Linked DNA regions of Styela clava. The protein of the gene in region 2 binds, or shares a complex with, the protein of the main gene of each other region. Links are inferred from orthologs where the notes say so. Each region holds a gene or a part of one and is shown on either strand. Other genes may lie near its edges. The genes, in order: cleavage stimulation factor subunit 1-like and cleavage stimulation factor subunit 3-like.

What was found.
Region 1: the proteins of cleavage stimulation factor subunit 3-like (region 2) and cleavage stimulation factor subunit 1-like are in contact, whole or in part, in a crystal structure (PDB 6B3X), measured with the Homo sapiens proteins. The link is inferred for Styela clava from reciprocal best matches to the Homo sapiens genes CSTF3 and CSTF1. Residues at the interface, in NP_001317.1 of Homo sapiens: Tyr581, Pro582, Lys583, Pro584, Asp585, Thr586, Gln588, Met589, Ile590, Pro591, Phe592, Pro594; in NP_001028693.1 of Homo sapiens: Arg118, Glu216, Ala217, His226, Pro227, Ser228, Asp230, Phe231, Thr240, Arg242, Leu243, Tyr244, Cys251, Phe252, Val253, Ser254, Cys255, Tyr270, Ser272, Ser273, Ala274, Asn275, Gly291, Val292, Ser293, Asn294.

The regions. Positions count from the first base shown.
Region 1 is NC_135254.1:18,913,433-18,928,458, reverse strand, and holds cleavage stimulation factor subunit 1-like, read right to left. Parts: upstream 6,874-15,026; 5' UTR 6,829-6,873; coding exon 5,536-6,828; 3' UTR 5,414-5,535; downstream 1-5,413. Other genes in the region: inosine triphosphate pyrophosphatase-like, read left to right, coding at 2,707-2,821, 3,294-3,432, 4,161-4,311, 4,618-4,694, 4,777-4,876. UniProt on the Homo sapiens protein: One of the multiple factors required for polyadenylation and 3'-end cleavage of mammalian pre-mRNAs. May be responsible for the interaction of CSTF with other factors to form a stable complex on the pre-mRNA.
Region 2 is NC_135255.1:8,577,204-8,594,053, forward strand, and holds the start of cleavage stimulation factor subunit 3-like, read right to left. Parts: upstream 8,559-16,850; 5' UTR 8,273-8,558; coding exon 8,243-8,272; intron 7,695-8,242; coding exon 7,599-7,694; intron 7,490-7,598; coding exon 7,394-7,489; intron 1-7,393. Other genes in the region: sodium/potassium-transporting ATPase subunit beta-1-interacting protein 3-like, read right to left, coding at 15,630-15,654, 16,206-16,266, 16,359-16,419. UniProt on the Homo sapiens protein: One of the multiple factors required for polyadenylation and 3'-end cleavage of mammalian pre-mRNAs.

The DNA.
Region 1 (15,026 bases), on a different chromosome or scaffold from region 2:
TTAAATGAAATAAAAAATATAGCTTTCAAGAAAAGGAATAATTTACTGGGTAATTAAAAATAAATGACCGAGTGAAATCAAATGTATATAATTCCATGTCAAATGAAAATATTCACAATAATCAATCATAAATATTAGAAGACAATCTATTTAAAAAGGACATCCCTGGTTCACATGTCTTATGCAGTAATTCATCATAAGCCCGAATTCAGTTATTCGAAAAAAATAAAATAGGCTACGATATATGTACGTCAGCCATTGGTGTCGATACAAACTGCCGTTCCCTACTCGCTTAAACAGTATCCCTTGGTATTGAAATACACAATTCCTGAGATATTTTTCAATGATTTTGGATAGGTAAAAAAAATGATTGGGATTGAGTTAGCTGGAATATAGATCAGGTTAGTTAAAATAAAATTACTGATATACCTATTAAAGCAGGCATATGACCATACATACAACCTTTGATGTTATACTGGAGTTTTGTCTACAATGCATTAATAACACACATTCAGGTCTGGTTGGGATAATTATGTTAGAAAATTCATAAATCATATAGGCAACTCAGGATGTATTTTTGTCACCTTGAGGCAATATTTTTGATATGATGACCTCAATTTTGTGGGAAATCATGAAGTAATTATGAATTTAACTGCTGCTTTCTTGAATATCAGCATAATGCTGCTTAAAATAAAAATGTTTTCTAACAGAAAATTGTAATATATATTCTAACTAAATCATGTTTATTAATAAAAGTCAAGAAACGAAATCAAAAATGAACTACAGTGAAAGAACTGAACATATCCAATTTACTTCATATTAATATAGTCATCATAAATGGTATAAGATGAATGCCTTTCCTTATAGCCATTAGGGAGAGGTGAAGGTCCAGTTTGATAAACACTATTATATGCATTTCCATCTAGTTATAATTTACATTTTCTGTCTTGAATTATAATTATTGACGTAGCTCAGAAATACTGAAATATGGTAGAACATGGTCAGATAGTGGTAATGACAATTTTGGAAAATTATTCATTCTTTTCAGCTTTGGCCTACATTCATTCTTGTAGAAGATGCTAAACACATGAAAAGGACTAAATTTGATGCTACATCACTTGTACAAATGCATTATAGTAGTGAACACCTGAAAATACTAATCTTAGAATTTTGAACCAGTTTTATTTCGACATTTCAATCATAAATAGAAAAATCCATAACCATATCAATCATTTTATTTCGGTATTCTGACATAAAACACAACACAAAAAATAAACAAACAAACAAAACGCAGAGATATCTGGGAGGTAAGCATACAGTACTTAAAATGAAGTTGAAAAACGTACAAGTACGCGTCCACTCCCACCCACCAAAAAAAAATAATAATAAAAGCATACAAAAAAACGTGAACACGATTCAGAACGAGGCAATTCAAAATTAGAAACACACATAATTGCTGATGGGTTCTGCGGACAGTTTTGCAAGAAATAAAACAGCAAAATTGAGGTAGATAAATTAAATGTAATAGAGTTCCTCTGTCTCTGATTATTGAAAATTTACGGATCCTGAGCCTGATTTTGAATGCTGTACCAAGTTCTGCATCAAGCCTTATTGATAGATTCAAGAATTACTATCATTTGGGTGGAGGCTAACTCGCCATGAGGGCGAACTCGCCATGGACCACTCGCCATGCGACGGCGGCTAACGGGTTAGTCTGCAACTGTGCGGCGGCTCTTCTTGTAATGGGAGATGGAAAGGTGGCTGTTTATACTAACAACTTCAATAGTAAGGATGAATAAATTAAATGTGTTTGGTTACAATACCTACTGTGCAAATAGTAACAAAGTGACAAGAAAACGGGCTTATATCAGTATATGGCGAATTAGCCCTCATGGGGAGTTAGCCGTCAGCCCTATCATTTACTCCATATTATAAGTAACTTATACCATAATTACTGATGTAACAACAGTAGTCTACCGGTACCAGTGCTATGAAGCTGAGACGTTACGGTACTGTCTGTTTTTGAGTGCCAACTGACTCTGATGACCCTCGAAGGTCGTATCGTTGCCTCTCAGTCATGTACCGAAAACATCTGTTTATTTGATATTTATATGTGTATGTATATATTGTTTTCTTGGTTGGACAAAACGAAATAAATTCTCTCTTTTTCTGTAGCAATGTCAAAATAAGTCGCTAACTAGACTATGCAGCTATGGGACGCTAGTTGCCAATGGTACGGTACCTACCGTACCCTCGCATTTGAGCCATGCAGACTGGAAGTTGATTGGTACCGTATAAGATGAAAATTTTTCAGCAGAAATCCTTGATTTTTAACTGATAGTCCTGAGTCTGTAAGTCGTGGTTCACTATTAATGTCTCATAATTCGCAATATAATGTCCTATCCACTTTTCGCACCCATCCACCATCCCACAACATATCGGGCAAATGTGGCAAAACCTGTAATGGCTCAATAGCGCCAAATTGGAAGTCTACTTATACGCTAAAAAATTCTAGATTTTTACCTATATAGTGACCTATTAGGTAGGCCTTTATGATTTTGATGACCACAATTTTTGAGACACACGAATATTATCGACCCACATCACCCCCACGGATGCATTTATCCTGAGAAAAAAGTACACGCGGTGGGCTGTACAAATCGTAACGGGCAACAAGCGAAGCGATACGGTCAGAGGGAATGCGTTATGTCTCAGAGAAAGACTGTCAGCTTTGTGACTGGAAACAAAAAGAAGCTGGAGGAAGTTGTTGCGATTTTGAAGGGAAATAAAAGTGTCGAGTTTGTTCACACACCATTGGATCGTAAGTAGGCCTATCATATTTAAAGATACCCAAGTGCATTTGTTGTTGTGTATTGTACGGTGTTCCGGACAGAGAAATCAATACTCCTGTTACTCTCTTCTAATTTTAGTGTACTCCATTCTGCCATTAGGCTATATGTTTTGATTACGGTGGATTCGTATTGGTAAAATTCTGTTTGTGGAAAATATAATCTATATCAGTTAAGGACTTTGCAGATCGTTCAGAAAATGGTTCATAACTTGATCAATTTCTGTGATTTGTGCGTTTTATTCTCCTGTATTTTCTGAAATCAATGCGCCTTGATCCATACGGTGCTGACATATTATGGCAATATTTGTCCTAATGTACTAGAAAATGGAGATTTTTTAGGTTAGGTTGTCTAGATATATTATGCTGTAATGTATTTTCAATTTTCTGTTAAATTGGACATCCCTTTACATTACTATGTGTCATCACTTGAACCAATTTTTAGTGCCCGAGTATCAAGGGACTGCAGAAGATGTTTCTCGAGAAAAGTGTAAAGAAGCAGCCAGAAGATTGAAGACTCCTGTAATTGTGGAAGACACATGTTTATGCTTTAATGCAATGAATGGGCTCCCTGGACCCTATGTGTATGGGAATCTTAGATGTTAGTTTTTCAAAAATAACAAAGCTAGAAATTGTCTTTGTGGAGAAATCTTGCACTGTGATGAAATTATTATATATAAAGAAAATAATGAGCCTATTGGTCCTAACTGGAAGTAGAAAATGTTATCAGAAGTCCCAAATATGTCACCAGATTGTAACTCTACTGCTTTAATGCGATTGGTTCCGGTAGTGTGCATATCTGGATGTACAAATTTTCTAATGAAAATCTTAGTGTCTGAGATGTGTTTTAGATCAGTGGTCGGCAACCTTTTTCCAGTAACAGACCAGTAAAGCCTGACCAAAATTTTGGCGGACCACCTTTATACAAACGAACTGATATAATGTAATAAATAATATGCGTTAGAAAATGTATGTTGACAAAACATTCAAAAACAAAGGTGATACTATTCACGTAACGTATTTCTTACGTTAAACCCACTTCGATCTTTCGTTTTTGTAATTGCCATTTTAAAAACCCAACCTCACATGAAGATAACAATGGCATTGTACGTTTTCATGTCACCTTTCTCTGCAGACCGGTAGTGACCTTTCCGAGGACCGGCGATGGGCCGCGGCCCGGTGGTTGCCGACCACTGTTTTAGATGATAGTTATGTGTTTTAGAACCTCTGTTATTCCTATATTGAACATTCCCAATTAATAATGAAATGTCAGTCTTGTTGTCATGTAATATTTATTAGAATCTGGTTGCAGGAAATGGTTCTTGAAAGAGTTGGGACCAGAAGGAATACACAAGATGCTGGATGGTTGGGAGGACAAATCAGCCTATGCCCTATGTACTTTTGCGTACAATGCAACTGGAAATGCTAACGACCCTGTCCTACTGTTTACTGGAAAATGTGAGGTGGGTATAGTAAATTCATGCCAAAAAGCCTGTATATTTACCACATCTGTCAATAGTTTCTTTTTGTACAATAGGGGAAGGGGACACCTAAATGTATAGCTCTGTCGGGTTGGAAAGACAAGAATTCTTATTGTTTGGCCGACCACCTTCGATCCAGCAGCTTCTAACATATGGAAACTAAATTATGTGAAAAAAAATTCTTCAATAATAAGCTTTCAAGTAGTATTGCCCAGAATCTATGATTTAATAAGGAATGAGAATTTACTGTCATTACTTTTCACAAGTCTTTCCTTAATTGCTTACTAGGGGAGGATCGTATCACCTAGAGGCCCAAGGGACTTTGGATGGGACCCAACATTTCAACCAGATGGTTATAATGAAACGTGAGTACATTGTTGTTATTTTATGACTGGGACTCATTCAAATTGAAACCCAATAGCAAATCCATGCCCCCATCCAATTCAGATATGCTGAAATGGCAAAAGATGAAAAGAACAAGATTTCCCACAGATCAAGAGCCCTCTGCAAGATGGCAGAATACTTCGAAAAAACAGATGATGGCTGATGAGTGAACCACAAAGCTGATAGAAAATGGTCCGGTTCAGACTTGGGGGATGCTTGGCACCTCCTCAGCATGGCAATTCAATATGTACACCTTATAAATTTGATGTGTCCTGTTAAATAAACTTTCCCCGAGTCAGTACTGATATTGTGGCTAATTTAGTTACGAAAAAGGGACAATCGTTTTAATCAATGTGTACTAAACGCTATTGTCAAGACAAGAGCACGAACTAGATAAATATAGGAATGCATAATACCCCAGCAGTGGTGGCAATTTAGTGAGAAGAAATATAGAAAAATTGGGACACAGCCACAGGTTTGGGCATAAAATGAGGATGATTTCAAAGGGTTTATTAGGTCGAATAAATTTCTTTCGTCAATTGATAATTCACTGCCATAAAAAGTGGAATGAGAATTAAGAATATCAAATAAGCTTTAAAAAAAACAACAGGGTCTGGTCTGTTGGAAAGCATAGATAGGCAAGGTTCTTTAAGACAGTAGGCAATCGAAAGCACAAGATTTTATTACTCTGTCTAATATACCATGCATCTTCAAACTGATGATCTCCATGAAGTAAATTTTAATTTTGCTCATGTTATGCTGCGCTGACCCTAAACTTTGTGGTCCAGAAACACATAGTAAAATGTGCTATCCAGCAGCAATTCAGTCCGTTCCTGTCGTTCTCTTATACCAGAACCGAGCTCTGTGATCCTCGCTGCACGTGATAAATCCAGGCGATGTTGGTGAATGGGCAAGACGATGAACAGGACCGTTGTGTCCGAGTGACAATAGGCGTTGTCTTTCACCAGTTCTGGTGTCCCAACAACATAGTGAAATTGTTTTTTCATCAGGAAACAATGCATAGTCTTCAGTATGATTAAACACTGCTTGTGCTTTGTGTAATTGTTTGCCACTAAGTTCTGCTCCTGTATAAGCAATGAGTGAGCGTCCTGTTGCAGTCTCCCAAAGACGGCATACACTGTCTTTACCACTTGTCAAAAGGTATTTGCTATTTCGTGAAAACTGTACAGAACAAATTTCTTCACCACTGTGGGCTTTAGGATATGTTGCAATACATCGATTACTGACACCATCCCATAACTTCACATCTCCGTCTTTACTCCCAGAAGCATAAATTCTACCATCATTATTGTAAGCCAACATGGTTAGTGGACCTCTATGTTGATCTGATGGGTTGCAACTCACATAACACTGAAAAGTGTTCAGATCATAAAGTCTCACAACTGGATGTTCTGTGCCAACCAGAAGGCATTCTCCACTGGGGTGCATGGAAACTGAGCGCACAGTTGCAACTTCTTGAATGGTTTTTGAAGCCTTTTTTGTAGAACTCTTTGAAAAGTCAAATACTTTAACTGTACAGTCACGGCCACCTGAAACTAATATTTGCTGGGTTGGGTGAAAATCTAATGTGGTCACTTCATCATTGTGATCATACAACGTACGAATAACAGGGTGGTCTAACATACCTGGTTGATCATTTTGCATTTGAGGAGTCCCTTCATGTATACTTTTGGCAACCATTCTCTCAACATCCAATACTTTTATTGACATATCCACCGATCCTGTCGCAATATATTGTCCATCTTTTGAAAAAGTCGCTGCTCGACATGGACCTTTGTGAGCAGTAACGTAACTTGTTTCATATACAATTGCTTCTGGAGACGTTATTTGAACATCTGTCTCAAATTCAAGATCTATTCCATGGCCAGGAGCAACCAGTTCTGCAGTAGATGGAAGTTTAAATTCTTTGTCATGTTCAAGCTGGGTAATTCCAGTCTCAAATACTTTGAGCAGTTTATCAGAAGGTGGACATGCTAGTGTTGGCTTCACTTGAGATGTTAAGCTTTTTGCGACAGCAATATATCCGTCATTCAGCAACTGGCTAATGATAGCCCTATACAAATGATCTCTCATTTTAACATTGTCCGGTTTCATTTTTAACGATTATCTGTTTTTATAAAATACTAGTAAATGCCAAAAAGAAAAGCTTAACTGTTAATACTTTAAAACATGGATGCTGACATCGTTCTAATGATCAGTGTTGACAAAATAGCCTACTATAGTTTTATATACATATATACCGTCTGACCGTATACTGGGTATACAGACTGATAGATCAACATTGAAATTTTAATACCATGTAAATACAAAACCAAATGCTGATGACATATTGCTGATATGCGATGGAAAGAGCAATGCATGGGGAACCCTACAAATGTATGAAGCTTCACCAAACCAAATGCTAATTGCCTTCATTTTCATTCATACCCACAGCTGCACAGATAAGCAAAACAAGGATCCACATTGTTCGGATTTGACTTCATAAGCAATAGTCTACTGATAAAGTGATATACATACAACAAAAATCTGACTATTGATGTGACGTTATGTACTAATACTGTTAATACAATGTAAACTGGATACTACACATTTTTTTGCAAAATTTAAATCAATTTATAAAAAATATGATAGTTTTTGGTTCAATCAAATAATTTATTTCCATTCAGTTGCATGAAGCCCAATTTTCTAGCTAATTTAGGTGATGCCATAAAATGTGTGAGTATACAATACAAAATGAAAATGACATATTATAAAATCCAGATACATTTACCCATTCTGCCATTCATCTCCATTAACGGTACCGGTACAGACCGCTGTGAAGCTAGTAGAATTTGATCTTTGTTTTATATATCTTCGTTTCCATAAGTATGGTGAAAAAATAGACTTGATTACTCAGAAGAAGAAACACGTACCGTAGACGGTTATGGCCATCGTGCATTTAATCAATCAGCTGACTTTGAAATATTTCCAATTTCGCAAATGAATGCGATCGTATTTCTACATTAGCTTGGCATTACAAACAGCTCATTTTTGAACCTGTAAACTCTATTTATTCGGTAATTCAAAGTCTTGCACACAGACTAGCTCTGTGCGTACTTATTGAGGCGAGTAGTATATGACAAGTTAGATACCGTATTTGACAAATCAGAAAATAAAACATTAGTGTAAAACAAACTGCCGTTGTGCTATCGATTAAGTTTCCAAACTGCACTTAAATTTATGTTGATGTTTCTTCCATATCTACAATCGAGAGCAATTCTGCCGTGTGGAATTTAGAAATCGCCTACGTTTTACTCCATCACCCTTCAATAAGCACAAAACTGTAATATAACTCTTCAATGAGCACGAAAACGAGACTTAACGCACCGCTGCGCACAATTAGAAGAAGGTTTGCTACTAGCTTCACAGTGGTCCGGTACAGTATATCCATTAATACAGTACAGTTACACACCACTGTGCAGCTAGCGGCAATTTCGGCCAGAATATTTTTACACATTGAATATAGTTCCCACGCGCATGTAGTATTCACTTATAGATACATATTAAAAAAAATTAAAATGGCTGAGAAAAAGATAATTTTACCACGGAAAGACATGACAAAGCATTAAACTAAAGAACTACAATGAATTTGACAATAAAATAGGGTCTAAAAAAAGAAATTGGGCAAATAACGCATTCCCAGGTATTCCGCAAAATACGGAGTTTCTAAGATTAGTACAAGTTCTAAACAATATTTATCAAAATCCTCCAATAGAAGCAGAATTACGATGAATGGTGGGATGTAAAATTTTATTATAGATGAGATATTATTACAACGGTACGATATCAGCACGTTATGACATGGCCATATGTGATACCAAACATAACGCATATTTTTCAATTTTATAAACAATCTAGAGTCTGGACTTAATCTATTCCAAAAGGGTTTTGTATTTTAACCAAATTTATCTAATTATGGAACGAATAACTTTCTTACTTTTTCACACATCAATACTGTACGTTTATTAAACTTGGAATAAGTTGCGGAAAGTCTAAATCACAAAAAATAAATTCACGCCATCTATTCAAAATTTAAAAAAAATCATCGACCCTGGATTGGGGATTTCTCGAAAACCGCCAATAAAGGAAGCACTACGACACATTCAATTTCATTATAGCAGAACAGTAGCTCCACGTTTTGACTTAGGCAAATATAATACTAAATATAGCGAATATTTCTCAATTTTATGAACAATGTATTCAATACAATGTATCTAACAATGTATGTAATTCGCAACATAATCCAAGTTTAATGAACATACAGTATTGATGTATGACAACGTGAAAAAGAATTTTGCTCAAATATTCAATAAATATAGTTTAATACGAAACCCCTGTGAAATATGTTTACATCTACATTGTTTATAAAATTGAGAATACACGCTATGTTTGGTATTGTATATGGCCAAGTTAAAACGTGCTGCTACTGTTCTGGAATAGTGAAATCGAATCTATAAGGTATCTGATTTTCTTCGAATGTGTCGTGTCGTATTGGCGGTTTTCGAGAAATCGCGACTACAAAAACGAAAATTTTTATTGTTGGTCAATCGAATAGCACGTTTTTTCCCTGTCTTTTATATCTAGTTATTGATATGCTATTGTTGATCAATTAAATTATTTCCAAATTGATCTGAACTAGCAGTAGGATAGGTTTGTTTGTAAAGGTTTCATCAATCATACTCTAGCACCAAAGGTAAATAAAAATGTTCACTCATCATTGCTCGGTTTGTTTTGTAAAATTTTTCTATTGATTTGACCCTCTTGTTTAAATCAGAAACGTTTCCCAAATCCATCTGCTAAACCTTATTGATAAGTATACCTATTATAAGTATTATTATTTTTGAAATGCAAGTTTGTAAAAATGCCAAACATTTGCATGAACAAGTCCATGAAATATTTTAAACATTTTCAGATTGTGACTAACCTATAAATAAAATTCCTGGTGTGTTACTTTTTTTCAATACTGTGTATCACTAAGTTACATTCAAATATTTTTCACATTCAGACAAATTATCATCACAATATAATTTTTGTCTTTGATTCACTGTATATATATATGGCCAATTTTTTTTCCAAGTACTTTGAATATTGTGCTAAATATAAGCATCCAAACCTCATTGAATTCGAATTTATTTATTTCCAGTTAAATATAAATTTCCATCTCATTATTCTGACCGCTTTAGATTGTTTTATTTAACGAATACAACACCGGACATCCCTCTTTTTTGTTTCTTTTTTCTTCCTTTAAAACACACTTGCATAACATTGCATTAACCAAAAAATCCCTTAATTTTGTTAAGAAATTTATTGTAAAAATTTTATCGTAATGGTTCAAGTTTTGTCACTAGTCATCTTTCAGTGTTAATCACATCAGCGTATATGGTGGGAGCTGACCTCAATGACCGTATGGCGCATGGTCGTATCGCTCTCTCCTGTCCATACCTAAACAATTTTATTTGCTGTTGCTATTTTATTGATGACTGTATTTTTTGGTTGACGAAATAATAAAACCTCTTTCTCTCTCTTGGCGTACAGTATAAATGTGTAAAAAGAAAAAATATATTTGATCAAGTATCCTGCAAATTAAGTGAAATACAAACTTTTTTTTAATTATGTCCACAGTGTTCATAAAATTGAAGAATATGCGCTATGTTTGGTATTATATATGGCTAAGTCAAAACGTGCTGCTAATGCTCTGCTATAATGAAATTGAATCTACAGTATAAGGTTCCTGATTTGTCCCATTATGTGGTAATGCTGCCTTTATAGGAGGTTTTCGAGAAATGAACGTCACGAAGAAAATTCGGTCATTTATAAACAACTCCTAAAAAAGTATGTAATTTTGTAATGCACTGTTACAGTCGATTTAGCTTGTTTACAAAATATTAACAAGATGAGAAGTGTAGTTATTGATTGATTTGGTATTGTAAAACTAATAAAAATATACACTTTCTTTCTAAAATGATTGGAAACATTTGTTTTTATGCGTGGGTATTTTCTGCGATTCTGTCAGCGCCAAATTTTTGTTTTGCTTATTGCTTCATAGAAGTGGTTCACCCCGGAGTGATGGTTTTATAAATTGGAAGTGTTCAGAAACATAAGAGCCGAGAGAAGAAGTTATTCGCAAAGTAGGCATAACTGCATAATAAACAGCAACGGAAACTTGTGAGATCATGCTGCAGTAAGCCAGAGAATAGCTACTGGTATATGAAGCAAGTAAATATAATTCTACCTTTCGCAGTTTCGTGCTCTCCAGTATCAGTGTCAATAAATTACCGGAACGGTGTAAAATATCTACCCAAACCTACCGGAACGGACCTGTAAATATCTTGTAAAGGTCATTTGATATACCCCTAGGCCATTTCCAGGTAAAACAGCGAACTTAGGGGGGACAGTAGAAAAAATAGTACTAGTATCACGGTGGCCTTTTCAATTCGTTTACTACTCCAGACCGCTGCAGTCCATAAAAAACAACACAAACGAATAAACATTCGCAAAAACAAAAATAACACAATAAATACCTGATACGACAATCAGATTGCAGAATTATAGGCGGGACCAAATTCGCCAAACTAAACCAACATGCAAATGAAAAAAAAAACACAAAAATAAAGATATATAGTTTTATTATTGATAATCATTTCAATATATTCTGTCTGCATCTCACTAGTTGACTTGCTGGGAACAAAATTTCGCATGTATGTGTAATCCGTTACTGAAAATGCCCTATTTCGTTAAAACCGACAGAGGCGAAAAACCTGAAATATTACAACTTTCAAACTACAATAGCATATTTAATCGATTAAGAGGGGCGAGATTATATTATTGAAAAATTTAATACTATATATGTGGTACATCGTAACTCGTAAAACCAAGTTCCCGTAAACGCGATTTCGTACCTAGTTATTTGGTAATAACATCTAAAGACGAATTCATTTTCACCACACCAACCGACCCATTGCCCCACCTTGCACAACTGTCTATATAAGGAAGCATATTATACATATTTAATCTAATGTTTTTTGTTTCATATTTGTCAAAAGGGGTGCATGCCGCACATTTGTGTTTTAGGCCAGTACGGTCTTGTGCATGCATCCCGTCTTAAATAATAAAAATTGTTCATTTATTTATGTATCACTATTACGAGACGAATCAACATACATACATACTCTATGATTATCGTTACATATCACTCATTATCTACCCAAAATTGGCCCTACTCAAACTTAATACATCACTATCGCAAGTTTGATTAAACGAGAGAGATTTACACGCGAGAAAAAATGCTCGTCTTCAATTGATAAATTAGAAGAAACCCGAAATACAAAAATTGACGCTTGGTGCCGGAGAGGCGGAAACCGAATCCTGTTATCGGATCCCGTTGGATTCGAATACTTTGAGATGAAAAACTAATTAAGAGGGGCGACATTTTATTATTGATACTGATACTTACTTTAGTATATACACTCTTTATCTCACAAGTGGAGTTGTTGACAAAATTTTGTATTTATGTGTAATCCGTTACTGAAAATGCCCTATTTCGACATAGACGAAAAAGAAGGTGAAGTATCAAAACTTTCAAACTACAATAGCAGTTTTTTATCCAATTAACAGGGGCGAGATTTTATAAATAAAAAATTCATCATTATATATGTGGTACATCATACGAGTTGAGTTGTTGGGAACCAAATTTTTCATTTTTGTGTAATCCGTTACTGAAAATGCCCTATTTCGTTCAAATCGTCATAGGCGAAAAACCTGAAATTTCATAACTTTCAAAACTACAATCGCATGTTTTTATTCAATTAAGAGGGGCAAGATATTATTATTGAAAAATATAATATTGGAAAAGTGGTACGCCATACAAAACAAAATATTGCATTTATGTGTATTCCGTTACAGAAAATGACTATTTCGTCAAAATCGACATAGGCGAAAACTAGAAATTTCACAACTTTCAAACTACAATAGCATGTTTACCCAATTAAGAGGGGCGAGTTTTCATTATTGATACCTATTTTATGTTATACACTCTTTATCCCACAAGTCGAATTGTTAGGAACAAAGTTTTGCATTTATGTGTAATCCGTTACTGAAAATGCCCTATTTCGTCAAAATCGACATAGACGAAAAGAATGTGGAATATCACAATTTCAGACTACAATAGTATGTCTACCCGATTAAGAGGGGCGTGATTTTATTATTGAAAATTATAATATTATACATGTGGTACATCATACAAGTTGAATTGTCGGGAACAAAATTTTGCATTTATGTGTAATCCGTTACTAAAGGGTGCCCTATTACGTCAGAATCGACAAAGGCGAAAAACGTGAAAAACCTTCAAACTACAATAGCATGTTTATCGATTAAGAGGAGCCAGTTTTTAATTTTGAAAAACATAATATTATATATGTGGTACATCATACAAGTTGAGTTGTCGGTAACATAATTTTGCATTCATGCCCTATTTCGTAAAAATCGACAAAGGCGAAAAACCTGAAAAATCACAGGCACAACTTTCAAACTACAATAGCATGTTTAACAGATTAAGAGGGCCGAAATTTAATTATGGATACTCTTCATTCCACAAGTTGGGCAGTTTGCATAAATTTTGCATTTATGTGTAATCTGTTACTGAAAATATTAAAAATAAATACAACATATATAAATCACAAAATTGAAGTTGTTGGTAGGTAATCTTTTTATTTATGTGCAAGTCCTGATTAACGATGCCCTATTTCAAGGGTGCCCAACCCGCGGGCCGCATGCGGCCCGCCCCATAAATTTTGTAAGCAGACTTTTTGAATTTTTACTATGTTATATAGGCGAAAGTTTGTTTCGTGGTTTTTGTGTGATTATTCCATCCATCTGTCTACATCCGGATGCCGATTCTTATTGTTATGTATGTATCAAGTCTTGCGCACTGATGGACATCGACGTTAAGATTTTTTCATTTCTCGCAGAACTGTGCGTTTTGTTCGACGAACTTGATTGTGCGATCATCGGTGACGAAAGCTGAGCGCAATTATAGGAATGAATTTGGCTTTGATCATCTTTATCGCCGACATAAAATAAAAAGTCAACAATATCTTTGCTCCTGGCTCCGGGATACGTTGTTCTTTTATGTTTGTATTTTTGTGTATGTTATGTTCGCGTTAAATAACAATTTGGAAATATCGTCACTGCGTATCCGTCAATAATTCTGATAAAATTGACCTGATTGGCAATTTTACCAATCGAATTAGTATATATATTTGTCCAGAAGTCTTTGTAATGTTTCTTCATTAAATACTTGTATTGAAGTTTCAAAATTTACGAAACGGCCCACTAAAATTCGATGTTTCCGCGACATTGGCGCACATTACGCTCAAATATCATAGCCACTGAAAATAAATAAATAAAAAACATCATGACTCAAATATAAGACTCAATTTTGACGCCTTTGTTTGTTAGTGAAAACTGTGTGCAGATTCTCGTGTGGCCGTCAGAAATCCACAAGTGCGTTGTGTAATGATTGATTTTTCGATTGAGCGACTCGTGAATGTCATGTCCATGCCCCATGTTACCAGATATTCGAATAGTAAACTGCTGATATATATTCGAATATTTTGCCAGCACTTATCAGTAACCTTATCAACTTGATTGATTTTATGTTACCGTAATAATCTTGCCTTTTATGTATTATGTGAATTCTAACGGAATCGGGACTTGGCTAGTATTAAAGTTTGTTACAAACGTTTGCGGCCCGCAACGATATATGTTTCGTATGTGAACGAGACGAGATCGAGAGAACGAGATATGTTTCGTTATGTGAAAGTGGCCCGCGAGACGAAAAAGGTTGGGCAGGCCTGCCCTATTTTATCAAAATTAGCTGACACCATAAAACGTTGAGTTCCACAATTTTATACGTAAAAGAATACGCGACTGAAAGTATAGAATACGCGCCTGATTATTTGCCACGAGATTAGATTTTTCAAAAATCGCGGAATGGCCGCAAGCGCGTACTTTTCTCAACCACTGACTTCATATTTATTTCTTATTAATAAACTAGGTCAGCAGCACAGTAAAATGCGAAGTCGTCAAAATCAGTATGATATATTGGACTGCACGATATTACTTTTTCAGCCGTGAAATTTCTGAGTCCCAATGTTTTTAAATTTCAATATATCGAAGTTCTTGAACAGTTTTATGTCAAGAAATTTTGATCACAATTTTGGTTGCGCACTGTGAGTCCAGAAATAGTAATCGGA
Region 2 (16,850 bases):
TTTGAGTTTACATAACTAGTGCTAAAGCACTCAATGTTAATTGTTTAAATTCAAAACAACAACGGGGGATGTGGCATTTGTTTGTGCAGATAACGATATATCGTGAATTTTTTGCATTGTAAAATTTACCCCCTTAAGCATGTCAAATTGATCCTCACAGGGTAACTCTCCAGTTTAGAAAAAGATAACACAGTCCAATACATAACAGCATCTAGCATGGACCACTGAAAATAGTGGATTTAGGTTGAACTGAAAACAAAACAGTATGTGATGCTACAATCTGAGTATGTCCACAAATCAGAGGTTTTGTCCACCTTTAAAAACATCCTTCGCATTAGATGTGTTTATTGATTTATACCCCTTCTTCGATATTCGGTCTAAATCTCAGTGAATTTTATTAGGTGTGGTAAGATTATTTATTTATCGGACTTCGATATTCTCATTCAAGATTCGCACCACAGGAAAAAATTTCTGTTGGAAATTTTGTGATATTTGATGGAACATCAAGATAGATGATTATTTAGAAAAGGAATTCAAATGTTATTTTATTTACGGTCAGCAATTCACGGACTTCTCTATTAACAGAAATCTCTTTTTTAACAGAAAATTTTCATACATTCTGATGAGTCAGAAACTGGCCAGAATTTCTTCTGTTATGTAAGTCATTAACATTTGTATTCTGTTCATCTTTATAGTTCAAAATTTTATAAGATTATTATTAAGAAAATGAACTGTCAATCATGAGCAGAAGTTCATTCTATGTTGAAGATATTGAATTGTTATCCTACAAAATATTTTTGAGCAGTAAGTTGTGCACATTTGTGGGATTCATCATCTCACATCAACTATGTCGATGCACTAATGAAAGTAATTGCACCTGCGAATCTAATTCAAGATCATGAATGAGGCCTTTGTTATATCATCTCCAGTTATTATGCTCCACAATTTAGGTAGCTTTTCAATTGATAATCAACGTTTTTGTAATTCGAATCTAATAAGCACCAGATTACATTATTTGAATAGTGCAGAGTGTGTAATGAATCTTATCATAGCTTTCCTTCGAACATGAGATTTTGATTGAACTAATTTTGTATATGTATTCGTTATTAGAAATAGCCTCTTCAGCTAAGACTTTTTCTTGTTCCTGTTTTGTTCACTTTTTGTCCACTAAGACTTGACCCTATGTCATCAATTTTCAATTCCATTATAAAATAAATCTAAGGTATGTTTGATGTACTTGATTTAAGATGGTGTATTAGTGGTGTGCTGTTTCTTAAGCCCTAAAGAAAAAACAGTTTGGTAAACTCCAATTGTTTTGACAATAATTTTCACACACGCTCGCGTTTTTCTTTGTCCAACAAATATTTTGAAAGAGCGCACTGCTGCGTAATAATTCCCTAGAACGCACTGCTGCGTAATAATTCCCTAGAACGCATAGGAAAGAATGGCCGGATAAGCAATTCAGAACACTAAACAATTTCCCAATACAGTAGTATATGGCTATGCATTTTTCTCTGTAGATTGATTACTTCTTTATACCATATGGCAGAATGGACAATTCAGAACACTTAAACAATTTCCCAATACGTTAGCCTACGCATTTGTCTCTGTGGATTGATTCATTTATGTTTATACCATACTCACATAAACATCGTTGTTAAGTTGTTACATAGAGAACGGCATATGTAAGCACGAATGATTGTTAATTCGAGAGGATTGGCAGCAAACAAGGATGGCACATCATTTCCTATTGAATCCACATTTATAATAATGACATGCTCTAGGACCCACGACAATTGTTATTCGTAGCCGCCACGATTACACATCGCAGTGCTACGTGTATATGGGAATACAGTACCAACTTAACAAGCATGTTTCACTGGCAATACATGTCATATCCCAAATATTGTTAAAATTGGCCACTCTTGCGTCTTAGAACGAGAACATCGATTTAGTAAGTAAACGTCATTAGGTAAATTCTGTCTCGGTGGCAATATCACCAAGTTGCCAGTAATTGTACTGTCTTTAATAACATGTAACGGTGTGACACAGTGGTTCCTAAACTTTTTAAGCCGCCCCACTTTTTATTCAGCCCCACCTCAAAAATAACTAGCTAATAATAAGCTACAAATAACAGATAGTAAGGCGAAAGTATGTTTTACTCAAAACACACGTTGAAAATACGAGGATGGAACGTAAATGATGAAATGAATAAAAATTTTAAAAACAAATAAGGCGGGCAAGATCGAATCTAACAAATAGTTTTATTTTTAATTAGCTCCACGCCCCCTCGAAAATTGTCTACGCCCCCCTTTGGTGGGCTCGCCCTACCGTTTGAGAACCACTGGTGTAACACATTACAACGCTTACAAAAGTTGGCGATATTTCTATTCTGTCTGTATAAACGAACATTTTTACAGCTGTAAAAATTGTGAAAATGCTTCAGCGTCAAAATGGTATTTTAACCCAGTGTCGTCATTATTAGTACTGCATAGACGCACCGCACTGTGAAATGGTTTTATATTTGATCGGACAAGGTCACTGACTGAGCAGATGCTCAATTTCGGAAAAGGAACGGAAGAGAATGTTTGGTAAAATAGGACAGTTCGTACGAATTGAAACGATTCGGCACTATAATTGACTGAGTTCTGATATTCTGTATTTATCAAGTTTGAATCATGCTAGGTATAAAGATTGTCGTTCACATACGAAACTGCCATTGGGCGAATGTTTAGGGGTATGTAATGTTCACTTATATCGAATCCGACCACGTCCGGGAATCATTTTTAAATAAAGACCGACAAGTTTTTATAAGCCGCATAAGTCGAGTATTCCGCATACGTATATTTTCCCGATAAAACCGTTATTATCATTTTGGGCCTCATTATTATCTTGGACATCGCATACTTTCGTAATTCAGAAAGTCCAAATGTGCCTAATAGACGCGGGCGATAATTGGTCTGACGCTGTATCTCGACCAAACATGGTCGTTAGAGCTAAATGAAAGACCACATTCGCATATTGTGCTTGGTCTGGTATGAAATCTGGCGCGTGGTAATGTGAAACAGTGCACAAGTTTCCATTCCCTAAGTATTATCTACTCCCACCTGTCCGTTATGACACTTGCTAGAAACAGCTAATAAATGTTTCATTTCCCGCTTGTATCGCGCTAAGAAAATACTATATTTCTTTTGATGTAACAGCTGGATTAAAAACATATTTATGTTCTATCAAAATATTATTTTCCTCGTTCCGATTAAATTAAACAGATTAAATATATATTTTAAGATAAAATGATTGTCAATTAAAAGGCCAATGAACTTATTCAGTAATAGTTTTCTTTAAATATCGCGAAATATTTCACACTGATCGAAGTTTAAATTAAATTTTAATCAAAATTAAATATTTTCTAGAAGTCGGTAGCTGGTTTTTTTATCCAATCATGTCAGGGCGCACCATAGTCGCAGCGCAGGTGTGCTGTTGCAAATTTTCATCCAATTGTCACAATTTTCAGGTATACGATCCATTAAAATTCAGGCCATCCAGTAGAATACTAAACTGGGAATTTGGGGGAAATTACGCCACACCGCATCTCGAAAAATGTGTAGCGCTGAACTTGAAATAAATGACGGCAGATCAGTAAAAAGTCATTTCGTTTTCATTTTCGTCCCGTAATTTGGCGTTATATGCAGACGCATAAACGCATTCGGCAGATTTACCGCCGCCGATAACCATGCACAAACCGTTCGATGTTTGTTTTTGCGGTGATATGCTCTCTTTTTCCGAATCGCAAACCTGATTCGAAAAAGATGCAATTCGATTTGTCAATCCAAAAGTGGCATCCCTAGCTTGCCTCAAAATTGGTCAAGCAAAAATTGAAATAGTTTGGCCGCATACTTTGAAATCTTACAATATGTAGGCTATTACCGAGGTTATGGGCAGCTTATTGATATATGTCCGTTTCTAATTATATTGTGTTCGCATCACGCGATGTGACACGTAGAAGAGAAATGCACCGCCGTGAAAAAAAAAACATTACGCGCATTTTACAAGTGTTTATAGGCGAATTTACCAAGAAATACAGGGAATCGACTTGAGCCCCCACAGTATTGAGGGTCTGTCCACCTACAAGCGAGTGTGAGAAATTTTGAATACTAATGTATTTCTTCAGTTACGCCAACCAACTCGAGATGCATAATCGCAAACATTACCCCCTCTTGTTTGAGCGGCTTAATATATATCACTAGTATTGTATTAACTCGTCGTGGTGAATTGTTTGACAATAAAGCCTGGAAGGCAATTTAAAAGTCGTATTTGAAGAATAAATAAATTTAAAAGTCGTAATGCGGACCTGACCACTGACACTTTTCATTTCATGAATATGATGTTAATTTGTTGATAACTATTTTATTTATTTGAAAGTAACTAATGAGCTCGACTAAACTTTGAGGGCATGAATAAAGGATTTTTCATCATAATAAACCTAACAAGTGCAGAAGACATAAGCAGAAAGGTACCATCAGTAGGACAAAGCATATCACTCAATAGTGGAATTCAACTTTTACTTTACGCATAGAGAACTTTCATCGTAATAAACTAGTGCAAAAGACATGCTGCAAGATACTAACAAAGGGTGTAGCCAGCCCAAATTTTGAGGGAGGGGGCAAGTTTTTTTTGCCCACTTAGACTGGCGGGCCATGTAAGTGTGACTTAGAAAGTTACATTTCAGCCTCATGCCAGAACTGAATTTAACCGCAGTCGCAACAAATTGCTTGAGCTATTTTAGCTGAAACGTCAAAATTTGACTTCAGTTTGGCTGTGGCAGAATCAGGCGGGCCAGATTGAATTACCCAACGGGCCGGATTTAGCCCGCGGGCTGTACTTTGCCCATGTCTGCTCTACAGACATACTTCGCTGTCAAAGTTATAAAAGTGCGCATTTCCATCTATCTCGTTTGGTTCATTAGGTGAAAGGATTATTGATAGCAATCCAGGAAATGTCCGGTTTTCAGTATATCGTTCAAGAACAGAGCAAAATGGTTTTGAAAATGTGTATGAATTTATGTCTCATGCCGCAAAATTGCGTCAAAAAATGTTTTTCGGTGGGACATCGCCCCTTCTTGGCTATGCGTATGGTACTAACAGTGGAGGCATACAGCATATCACTTAATGGTGGCAATTAACTTTCCCTTTACGTCCATCCCGATTTGGCATCCCAGAAAACACAACTTTTCCTATTTCCCCCATCTCTTACTTCTAAGAAGACAAGCTTTTGTAAATCCCATAATAGTTAGATATTTATATATTAATAAACGCGCCAGATATATGTCACATATGAACCTGTTATTTCCGCTATCAACCAAATAATAGAATTCAAATGTAATAAAAAGTACATTTTTAATATCAATAAAACCTACATAAGATAAATATATATAAACAGTAAAACATGCAAAAAACTAAGTTCATAAATGTTCACTTTGTGCATATTTTTTATTGGCACAGTAAGTATATAATAACTAGTGTAAATCTGCTATAACTCCCCCTGAACAGTAACTCGCACTCAAAAATTTTCAAACCAAGCTGCCTCGATACGAAATTCTACATAAACGATAGCATTTTAAAGAAGATACAAATTCAAACATAAAGAACCAATCAGGAAAGCATATTATCTTTTTAAATAGAAGTTCCTCAATATCAGCGATTGAACGCCAATATGCTGCCTGCAACTTTTTATAGTGGAGTTTTTTACCCCTTAATAATTAGCAAAACAAGCATTGATATGCATAAAGAATCCGAATCTTCCATATGCTGCAATACCCTCTGGATATATTACATCCTGGAAGAGGTGGTGAGCATGGCAGATGATCTTAGGATCTTTAGATTCAAAGTTAGGTTCAACGCTCTAACCACTGGAATAGTGCGCGCAGGGAATGAAACAGAATGGGATTGATACATAACATGCATGAAGTCGATGAAGATCTTTATGTGAAGCATTTTTTGTTAGGAATAACTTATGAAGTGTTGAATCAAAGCATCTGTATAGATTGTATTGATAAAAAGAAGGATAGAACTATAAAGAAGAAATTCACCACATTACAGCACTATCACCAAGCCATAACGAGGATGGCAAAAAGACTAGTCAGACTGGATCTGGATGGACAATTTGAGCTGCCCATCAAAAACCCAATGAAATAAAAACAATAGCCAACAATTACTCCACCCATGAAAAATTACTTTTTCAAAGGCCGAAGAAATCTGTAGACAGAACTATGACAGAAAGAATGCAAATGAGAAAATGCATTCAATTCCAAATATCATAAAGCATAATTCTGATCTTGCTTAATAGCACAAGTTGAAAACAGAACACAATATGACCTCGCAAGTAACTTTGTTATGCCTTCAAAACTAGGGTAACTTCCAGCAACAAAATACACAACAAGTCCATACAACTTCTCAAAGAAAATCTTTTCTCACAAAAGACAAGAAAGGGATAGGAAACAAACAAATTCCAAGACGCCATTGATAATGTATGTAGAAGCATTTGACAGCTTATTTTTCATTATCACATCAAAGTTGATAAGGTGTGGTCGTAGAATCACATATTCGCTCTACATAATGTAAAGCTGTGGCAGAGGTAAAGAAGTCTAACGGCATCATCTGACTTTTGCATACCATACTACGATTGATCGACGAATCTGTGGCTTGGCATGTTTCTGTCTCATCAAACTGAACCAAAGACCCACTAGATGAATATGAAACAGCCATGCTAAACACCATCATACACTAAACTCCCTAAAATATTATTCACTACACGAATGCCATCTGGCCACTAGCTAACATCTAATGTAAATACCACTGGCCAAGCAGAATTGATTCATTGATCAATGTTGATCCGTTTTCGAAGATTTGAAGCAACTAAATGTAGAGACTCGTCTCAAACTTTAAAGTGTCACTAGCTTTTTGCAACTTTAACCAGGCGCGTTGATGCCTAAGTAAATATTGACACGACATGGTATCCTGGTTTTAATTTCAGACTCAGACTTGACCAGAAACTGAGGGTTTAGGAACTTGCACACAACAATATATTTGGTCGGCATCAAGTCTCATGTCAATTAGTATTAATTTGTGTTTGAACAGCATAGTCTCCATCTCGATTATAAGTTTGTACTTCTTAGCATTTCAGCAGTATCAGCCAGACACAATTCACTTCCAATAAGATAATTTTTCAAAACTAAGTGGGATCTTGTAACACATTATATTTTAGGCAATCCACTTTTCTAAGCAGAACCTTCAAACTGAAAAGAACTCAACAAAGCTTAAATCTGTCTCACCTTTGCAGAACGACAAAGCAAACAAATACAGAAAAAATATATTTTTAATATTACAAACCACACCTCATGTTCTATATAAATCTTCCAATATCTTCCAGCACTTGGGAACTGTGAAACGAGACGTTCGTATGTTCTTCTAGCTTTGTTAATAGAGTTTGTCTGAAAAATCCAATGTAAAAGACTTGTACCAAAGAATATGTTGGAACAATGAATGAAATTGCAAAATCTGATAAATGTCACAATTTCAGTAATAAAATATAGATTGTACCTGGGCTTCACGAATCAGTGAGTTCCATGACTCAACATCATATGGACTGGTTTCCAATTTCTTTTCTATCTTCCTGATTCTTTCTGGAACATACTCCTGTAATTGAAGAAAAATGGACCTCATGTTTATATACCAAGTTATGCGGTACAAAGATAAATTTTTTTGGCATTATTAATGATAGTGAGTATGATATAATTATCACCACGCAATACAGAACAATGAATACAATTCTATACATACTGAAAAGTTCTTATTCGTTCCTAATCACTATTTACATAGACATATTTAGTACTGTTTGAAATATTCTGTATGTCGTCTGATGATAGATCATTTAACAACATTTAATGTGTAATAAACATCAAAGTTAACAGGTTGTCCCACTACTAAACTGATAAAAGACTTTAGAAAGTATATCACATAATACCAGTATTACACTATAAAGAACATTAGCTGATAAAAAAAAAAACATTCAAAACCATTGCTAAAATACTATTATTAATTGCAGTGTAACTTCGTTAGGAAAAACAGAAATGTTTTATGGCATGATATCCATAATTGATTTGTGGTTTAGGTGCATAATATTCTAAGATATCCTGGATATCCAAGTAGAAATTGCATTATAATAAATTTTCATTATATCTCACCACTTCTTCTGATTGTGATTTTGTTGCCATATTCAATGTTTTGAACCCTTTATTGAACAACAAATTAAGTATAGATTTTGCATTGATCAGCTTTTAATCATTAATAGAGATTTTTGTAAGTATTGTTACCTTAAGTTTCTGGAGAAAGCAATCAAATTAAATAATGTTGTACAAAAATATTCTTTAAGTTTATAGATTAATACTTATCTGTAAGCCAAGACAAAAATTTAAAAGATAGCAAATGCATTTCATCCTGAAAAGCTGAAGTAATTTATCTCAATTATGACATAATCTTGTTCATTTATTGGTTTAAGAGTCAGTACAGTTCTTTGATTGCGATATTACAATAAATGTCCCCCACATTAAAATACAGCAATTATAACAGTGAATGCAAACCCCTCCTTTTTGAGACAGTGTGGTCGGCACGATTTACTGAAGAAAAAAATTTACCGTATCATAAGTATATTTGAACTCCATAATCAGCATAACACTAACATGCAAAGTTCAAAACGTACAGGATATCTTATAAGATGGGAGATTTTGCCAAGAACGAGTGTTTTTAGCAAAAGAAATTATTATTTCAGTGATATGACGGAGGACGCTCATTGAATTCTGGAATTATTATCAAAATAAGCATGACACAATACTGACTGTTGCAGCAAACAGCAATATTTTGATATCCAGATACCGTGTGCGAGACGAGAGTATTGCGGGTTACCGGTAATTACAGTTTCCTCCACCATCAAGTCCATGCTTCAGAAAATAAGTTTATTTAGACTCCATAATCAGCATAATAGACGGTAAAATGTCGACATTGATAAAAGCAAAATAAATAAAACTGATTATAGAATCCGACCTGCAAACATGGACTGGTAGTCAACAGGTAACACTGTGACAGGATGAAAGGCTGTGGTTCGCCATATGATTAAGCCGTCATATCGACTTTCCACTCCTCCGGGATAAATATGTAAATCCTATTCTGCAAGCTTTAACCTCGGGATTCGGCTGTGGTTCGCCATGTGATTGAGCCGTCTTATCGCCTTTCAACTCCCCCCGGGATAAATATGTGAATCCTATTCTGCAAGCTCCAAGTCCCGGCCCTCGGGACAATGCCGGTACCGTATTCGCCAAAGTGACTACAGGACTATAAACCATTGAGGTGCTATAAACCACTTTGGTATTCACTGCCGTAACGTACGATCTAAGACTACAAAATAAACCACCTGCACCTGGGTGTCGCTGACACGATTATTGGACGATCTTTCGCGACTGCTCGCGAAACTTTGTGGGTTATTTTTGTGACTTGATTCATTTCGATTCATTATTATTTGTTTACAATATTTCATGCATGGCGAAATAAAATATTTTAATCTAAAAACACACACAGTTGTACAGGTAATCGATAAAGCCGGGAAGGGAAACCGCGGGAACGAATTTTGTTTATCAAATAGCGACACCCAAGGTGTAGGATAAGGTTCTGATAAGTCCAAAAATCGTATTTAAGAGGTCGATATTTCAGTTACGACATTGGTATGGCCGTATCGCGACTTTAGCTGTATCAGTTCAGACCTTGCTTTGATCAATTTTGATAATAAAAAATGTATGTACAGACTTTGCTCATCTAGTCTAAACTGACAGGTCGGCAGTGGGTGGACAGTCTAAAACTTCATAAATTCACTTCATTCTCAGCCATTGGAGACACTCATATCTGTTTGAGTACAGATACGGTATCGCGAGCTCGGAGGGAGAAAGAGACAACTCGCCATATGGGTTTGTTACTTTGCTATACAGTCGTTGAGTGACATCGCGGGATATAATGTAAGGTATAAGTATATTTAAAAAATAATAGGAAAATAACTAGTGTTCCATGTTATATGAAATTGAATGAAAGTGTCAGTATTCATTACTGATTAAAGGCCAAATTATGATTGATTTACATGATTTTTTTGAAAATAGTTCTCATACTTACGTACATACATTTATGAGGCTAAAATGATACCTGGGGAAAAAAAGCAAAATTTATTTCAACTGGGCTAATATTCAGGTCCGAACCGTCCGGGCAATCTTTTCATCAAACACCGAGGCACTATCGGTACGTTAGTCGTTGGGCACTATACTATGAAAATTTCTGTTGTGCTTTCTTTGTCCTGGTGCCGTAAGCTTGTGCTTGTTGTGCTTTATAATAAATTCATACTTGGCTACAATATCATCGCAACATTATACGCCTACAGAATTATCAGCATAATAAAGCAGCGCCAAATCGTGTAAGTCTTGCTTTGTAACTGACGCTTTTTAACAGAAGGCCTATAGAAGTTACGGTGAAATGCTATTCAAACGTGGAACGACTTCAGTATACATTTTCGATTCATTTGCATAATATTATTTAGAAATAATTCTCATGCCTACAAACATTTATAGAGGTTTAAGAATGATACTTGAGAAAGAAAAACAAGCAAAATCTCAAAATTTATTTTAACCGGAACAATATTGAGGGCTGATCAGAGGCGTAGCCAGAATATATTGCGCCCGGGGCAAGCTATAAAATTGGCGCCCCGACCTCCACGTTTAATCATATTTTCTATTACATTTAATTGTATATGTAAAACAATTCAAATTTTAATGGAACATTTTACTTAATAATTGTCTTACCGTAATATTTATATAACATGGTGCAAATGTGTCTGTGCTATTCTGTTCATTTATATTTTATACTGAGACCGACTCTGTTATGGCGATCTGTAATGTACTAGATCACAATGTAGCACTGGTATTATATATATTTTACACATGTCCTCTAAACTCTATCACAATGTGCTTTTAGTGTTGAATCGTGGAACTAAAATATCTGCCGACTCATTCTCCGTCTTTTTTATATTTATATTGTAACAATTAATTCCGACTTCTTAATCAATAACAGTGTTAAATTGGTCAGGAGCCTTGATGACCTTCAACGGTCTTGCATACTGGCTAACACAAAACAATGTGTAAATTGGACTACTTCTATAAAAGTCATCGATATTGTTTTATACTATTTTTCATTGTTTTCATTATAGTCTAACTCTATAAAAATTATTGATATTATTTAATACTGTTTTTTCATTGTTTGTGGAAATAAATCTCTCTCTTAACGAAGAAGCAAAGCTATACAAAGTATGTCCATAATGTCCCACTCAGTTATTGTCAAGGATGATTTACATAGTCTACAATAAATTTATTTTTCTTGATTTCACTGTCGCAAGCTGGTTAATCACGTCATCAAAATCTGTTTTTTTTTTCAATGTTTTTCTTTCAACACTTAGAACAGGGGTCGGCAACCGGGCCAGATCCGGTCCACGGAACAATATAATCCGGCCCGCGACGCTTCACTAAATTATATTAACAAAACAACTGTATTGACGATTATATTTTTTACGTAACAGAATTTGTTTTGAGACACTAAGTTATATTATAATCTAACAAGTATATAATTCACAATCACTCGTTTAAATTGATTATAGATAGACAAATGGCAACAGAACGTAAAAAAGTTGATGCTGAGTGCAAATGCTTTAATGGCGCAGAAAATGATCAGTTTTTGTGCGCTGCTTGAAATTTAACTGAAATCTGTGTGAAAAAATGTGATTTACTGGCCATTCCCTCGTTTTTTAACTTTCTAAAAATATATGCGGGCCACTAATGACTTGCAACCTTTAATTTTGGCCCACGAACGACAAAAGTTTGCCGACCCCTGACTTAGAACATCACTGAGACTATCCTGTCCTATTGATGCACGCGATTACGACAAAATAGGTTTAAATTTGTTGAAAGACCGTTCACAGCTTGCAATTGAAACTGGTATTGTTAACAAAATTTGTAGAGAAATTCGCATATTCGAGAAAACGTCGTCTCCAAAAGACACAATAAAACCAAGAAGAGCCAATGGCTGGTAGACACCAATGCATCAAACTGAGTTGTTGCGATGCCGTTGTGGTCATTATAAATCAGTGGTTCTTAAAGTATGGGTCGCGACCCAAACATGGGTCGCGGAAGGTTTAAAAATGCGACAAGGTCATCAATGCAAGGGCAATCTAAGAGGAGAAGGAAGAATTTTCAGCTTTCCCAATGTTTCAATTTAGCTTCTAAACTCTGGTATTTAAAAATAATGAAATATAAAATGTCATTCACGGAAAGAACTGTCTTGAGCTCATTGTTACATCACAATTCTGATTTGCCAGTCACGTGTATTATTTTTATGGTATCGGTAACCATGTACGTCGCTTGTCGTTGTGTTGACCGCGTGGAATGTCGTCTTAGTCGATTAAAATAACCAAAAATGGGTGTCTTTTTGGTAATGTAAATTGTAATAGACGACGCAATGAAAAAGCTCGCTTCTCGACATTAGATTATTCAATATCTAGAGAAAATGTGACTTCATCTCGAGGCACCATTTACCGCAAGCGAAGCAGTGTGTGCACATTTGATGAGTAAAAAGTTGTATATTGCGAGAGATACCGAAGGCCAGCTAGGATGTCGTGTTTGCGACGGACAGCGGACGCCTTTTCTGCTACAATTCGCAACAAGGCACTTGTGCGAGCGAGGATATTTGGCACTGACGGTTATCAAAACTAAGCTCGCAATCGCCTCGATACCCGTGACAACTTGCGTATTGCGTTAAGTAAAATAGAGCTGTGTATTGAAGATATAATGAAAAGGAAATTTCAGTTTTATCAATCTCACTGAGTCAATGGACTGTTTCTAATAAATAGTTGTCTGTATTTGAGTCAAACTGTACTAACATTAAAAACACATTTTGCGTTATTTAGGATTGGGTCGCGAGTATTCATAAAACTCAGATTTGGGTCGCGCTCGAAAAAGTTTAAGAACCACTGTTATAAATATTAGGCCCAGGGCTAAGTATAAACTACACTTTTTATGAATGCTGTTGACAGGCGGGAACTGAACAATCCCTTGCCACCAAAAGTAAGGTCTGCGTCGTGGGCTACCTGGAAACGTTTAGCAGCTTACCACGAAATACAAAACCACGTACTACTCAAAACATGTATTATCAGCACTTCGCTGTTTAACATCATTAAACCAAATTCCGTTGCTTTTCGTCTCCAGCACAGAACTTATATCAACTTACATCGTAGTGCGCAGGCAAGAACTTATCGATACAGAACCACGTATTTAACCCAGTGCATTTTATTACCTAACGTTACCAAATCAGATTTTGCTTTGTTTCCGTGCGCGAGCTATGTGCCTGATGACGTCGGCGTAAGTGGTCTGACCAAGTGTGCAGTTGGCCATGTACTAAGACTAGACTGCCGCCGGTGCAATCTTGCTTGTGAGATTTATTTTATGTGACTGGTATTTTACCCTCGTTGTGACATTTTTGCAAGTCCCATTTTGGCGCCCCTGTACCTTGGCGCCCGGGGGCATATGTACCCCATTGCCCCCCCTAAGCTACGCCTCTGGGGCTGACTCGTCAGACTAACTCGAATTATTTCGTTAAACACTGAGGCGCCATTGAAAAGTTGACTGTGGAAATTTCTGTGGTCTCCCCTTTTCTCTTAGTGCCCTAAGCTCGTGGTTATTCCGTTTAAGGGTTAATCTAGACCTGGAATACGTGTGAACGAAGTTAGTTCGCCTAGCATCAAGTGTACAAATTATATAATTTCCCTATCTGTCCCGAGAAATGATAGCTGGCCGCTTACAAGTCAATGTTAGATTCTATTTTCTCGTGATTATGTATTATTTTCTCGTGATTATGTACTCTGTTCTTTAATTTATTCTAGTATGATTGTCTTGGTGTGTTTCACGTGTGTGAATGGGCATAATCGCTGGTTACAGCGTTCGTTATAAACCTTTATATAGGTTTTGCCCACTTTCCCGATCTTTCAGTTGACCTTGTCTGTGTTCTTTTTATTTGTGTTGTAGACGAAAGATCGAAATAAAATTATATTATTATTATGCATGGGGTCGGCGGTAGAGGAAGCAAGCGGCTTCGTTGACGATAACCACCTGGGTATATTTACCTTTGAACCAGCGCAGCGTACTTCTGAATGGAATGACAAGCGACTTTAAAACTCTCAGCGCCCATCGTCGACGCGGGTTTCATGTTACGTAGATGACCTATCTTTTTTATTTCGATTCCTGAAAGCTTTTACGCTTTGGTCATTCGCACCATTGCTTACTCTTGAATTCTAATCGGCGATGACGGTGTATTGCTTCGTGCTAAGCGTTAGAAATAAGCTCACAAGCGCACCTCTGATTACCCCGCGTGGTTTCGCAGGTTCGAACTTTCATTCCCAAGGTACCCTATTGAAAATAGGCCGCTCCAGAAGTGTGTGCACGAATACGAAGGTAACTAATTTTGTTCGCCTACCTTACTTAAAGTTGTGTAGAGTGACTGAAACCTACGGGCAGCGGTTATATTCACTTGGCTGACCTGACGAGGGAAGTATGTGATACCGGTAACAAAATTTGTTAGATGCCCTGTATAACATTCGGTAATGAATGAAGAAGTAGTGGCAGTGCGAACCTTATAATCAGACATCCTGGATTTTAACAGAAAACCAAGCCTAAAATTTAGTTATGCGATTAATTTCATTGTAACAAAGCATAAACATAGGCAAATAAATGAAATATACTTCAACAAGAACTTGCAAATTCGCCAGAATACAGAAATCAACTTCTATTAAAAACAAAATATAGAAATTCACCACCCATAATTTACAGACAGTGGTCGGTCAGTATGAGCTACATTGTACAATATCAGTGAAATAGAACTGTTGCTGATCTAGATTGTTGTGACTATACAATTGATAGAACAATGTGAAAAAGTGTGATATAAAGAAAATGGTGAATAAACAATCCCATAATAAAGTACGATTTTCTTTTTACTCTAACATGCTCAGGAGATTTTACAATATTCTTCTTTTCATTATGGCTTGGTGTTGTATTTCTGTTGATCATAAATAATAATTCAACCACATGAAATAATGATGAATGGCAGACATGATTGTGCAAAAACGAAGCATAAAAATATTACAGACTTGATAGTGAAGTAAAAAAATGTACCAGACATGCGAAAGAAAGAGTTGAGTAATTAACAAAGTAATAAACAAAAACTTGCACCATCTGATGTAAAAATGATGTTTTATGTTGTGCCAATCCCTACCGCAGCATACTAAATATCAAATGATTTCAACTACTGCTTCATAACACTTCAAACAAATTGTTAAAAATAGAAAAAGCCCCATCAAATAAAAGTACAAAGATGACAAAATGAACAAAGCATAATATAGATAATAATCCGTAGATCAAGAAAAATATTTAGAAAAGCCAGCAAAAAGCATCAGTTGTATTGGACAAATGAAACAATTTTATTAACACCCATCTTTTCATTTTATTCCTCAGCAACACGATGTGATCTGTAAATAACAACATTTTAACTTTCTTTTTTGCTAATTTACCGTAATGACTCTTAACAACAGAAATTGATTAACATCGGGTACTTAATCTTGGTCCAAAGCAACAAACAATCTCGTTTGTGTATGATATTTATTCGAAAAGTTATAAATGCAGTTATTCATATTGAGAAAATGTGAGAACATAAAAAATGTATGCCCAAGTCATACATAGTTATTTAACAACAGTTTTTATATGAAACGGAATCCTTTACCCTAAGTATATCTTTTCTCCTAACTACAACAGATCATTTTGAAAAGAAGCTAACGCATCGCATCATTCATGCTACAATTATAGTAATCAAAGTAACAGTTCAATTGCGTAATAAGAACCCAAATACTGTATTTAAAATGTTGCTGGTATTTATAACATTTTTAATTATACGGCAGTGAAAAAAAATGTATTGTTACTTGAAAAATTCAGTTTGAATTTGAATGTTGTATAGTATGAGTGAGGTTACTGATGATAGGAAAAGAACAGATCTGTGATAAAATTCCTAAAAAGATTCACTAACCTTACAAGTGGTGATTCTTCCGGACCACCTCTCTTTCGATCATCACTGCCAATGAAATCGACTGGAACATTTAGAAAATAGATATTTTATTTTTAACTGCTTGTTTCTATACTTTAATATTATGCTAATTTTACATATAATACTAATACTCACAACTGCCACTGTCATCTTCAAGAACACCAATAACATAGCATGATATGATGAACCCGAAGCACTAGAAAATAGATAAGTTTATTTATTAAAATTTGAACAGTGATTCTTCAAACATTCGTTTTTCAGACATAAGTGCATTGGAAACATAGATGTCTAAGATGAATGGAATATTTAAATTGATCCGAAAATAGTTATAATCTATACTTCATTATAGATTCCTGATTTTCGGTAAAATTTAGAATATTTTTATTTCCAAATTTGTCATTTTTAGTATTTGACATTTGGCGGTCAAACAAAAAATACACTCAAGTTAACTTCTAAAACTGTATAATAAACAGAAAATCAAGCAAAATCATGTTTATTTCAACTATTCTGCATAAAAAAAATTCAATTCTATAAATTTACAATTATTTGTGTTCAAACTTTGTTGAAAAAATGATCCATTTTGCATTATTAAGGGACCTCCAGAAGTATTTGCACCAAGATGGCGCA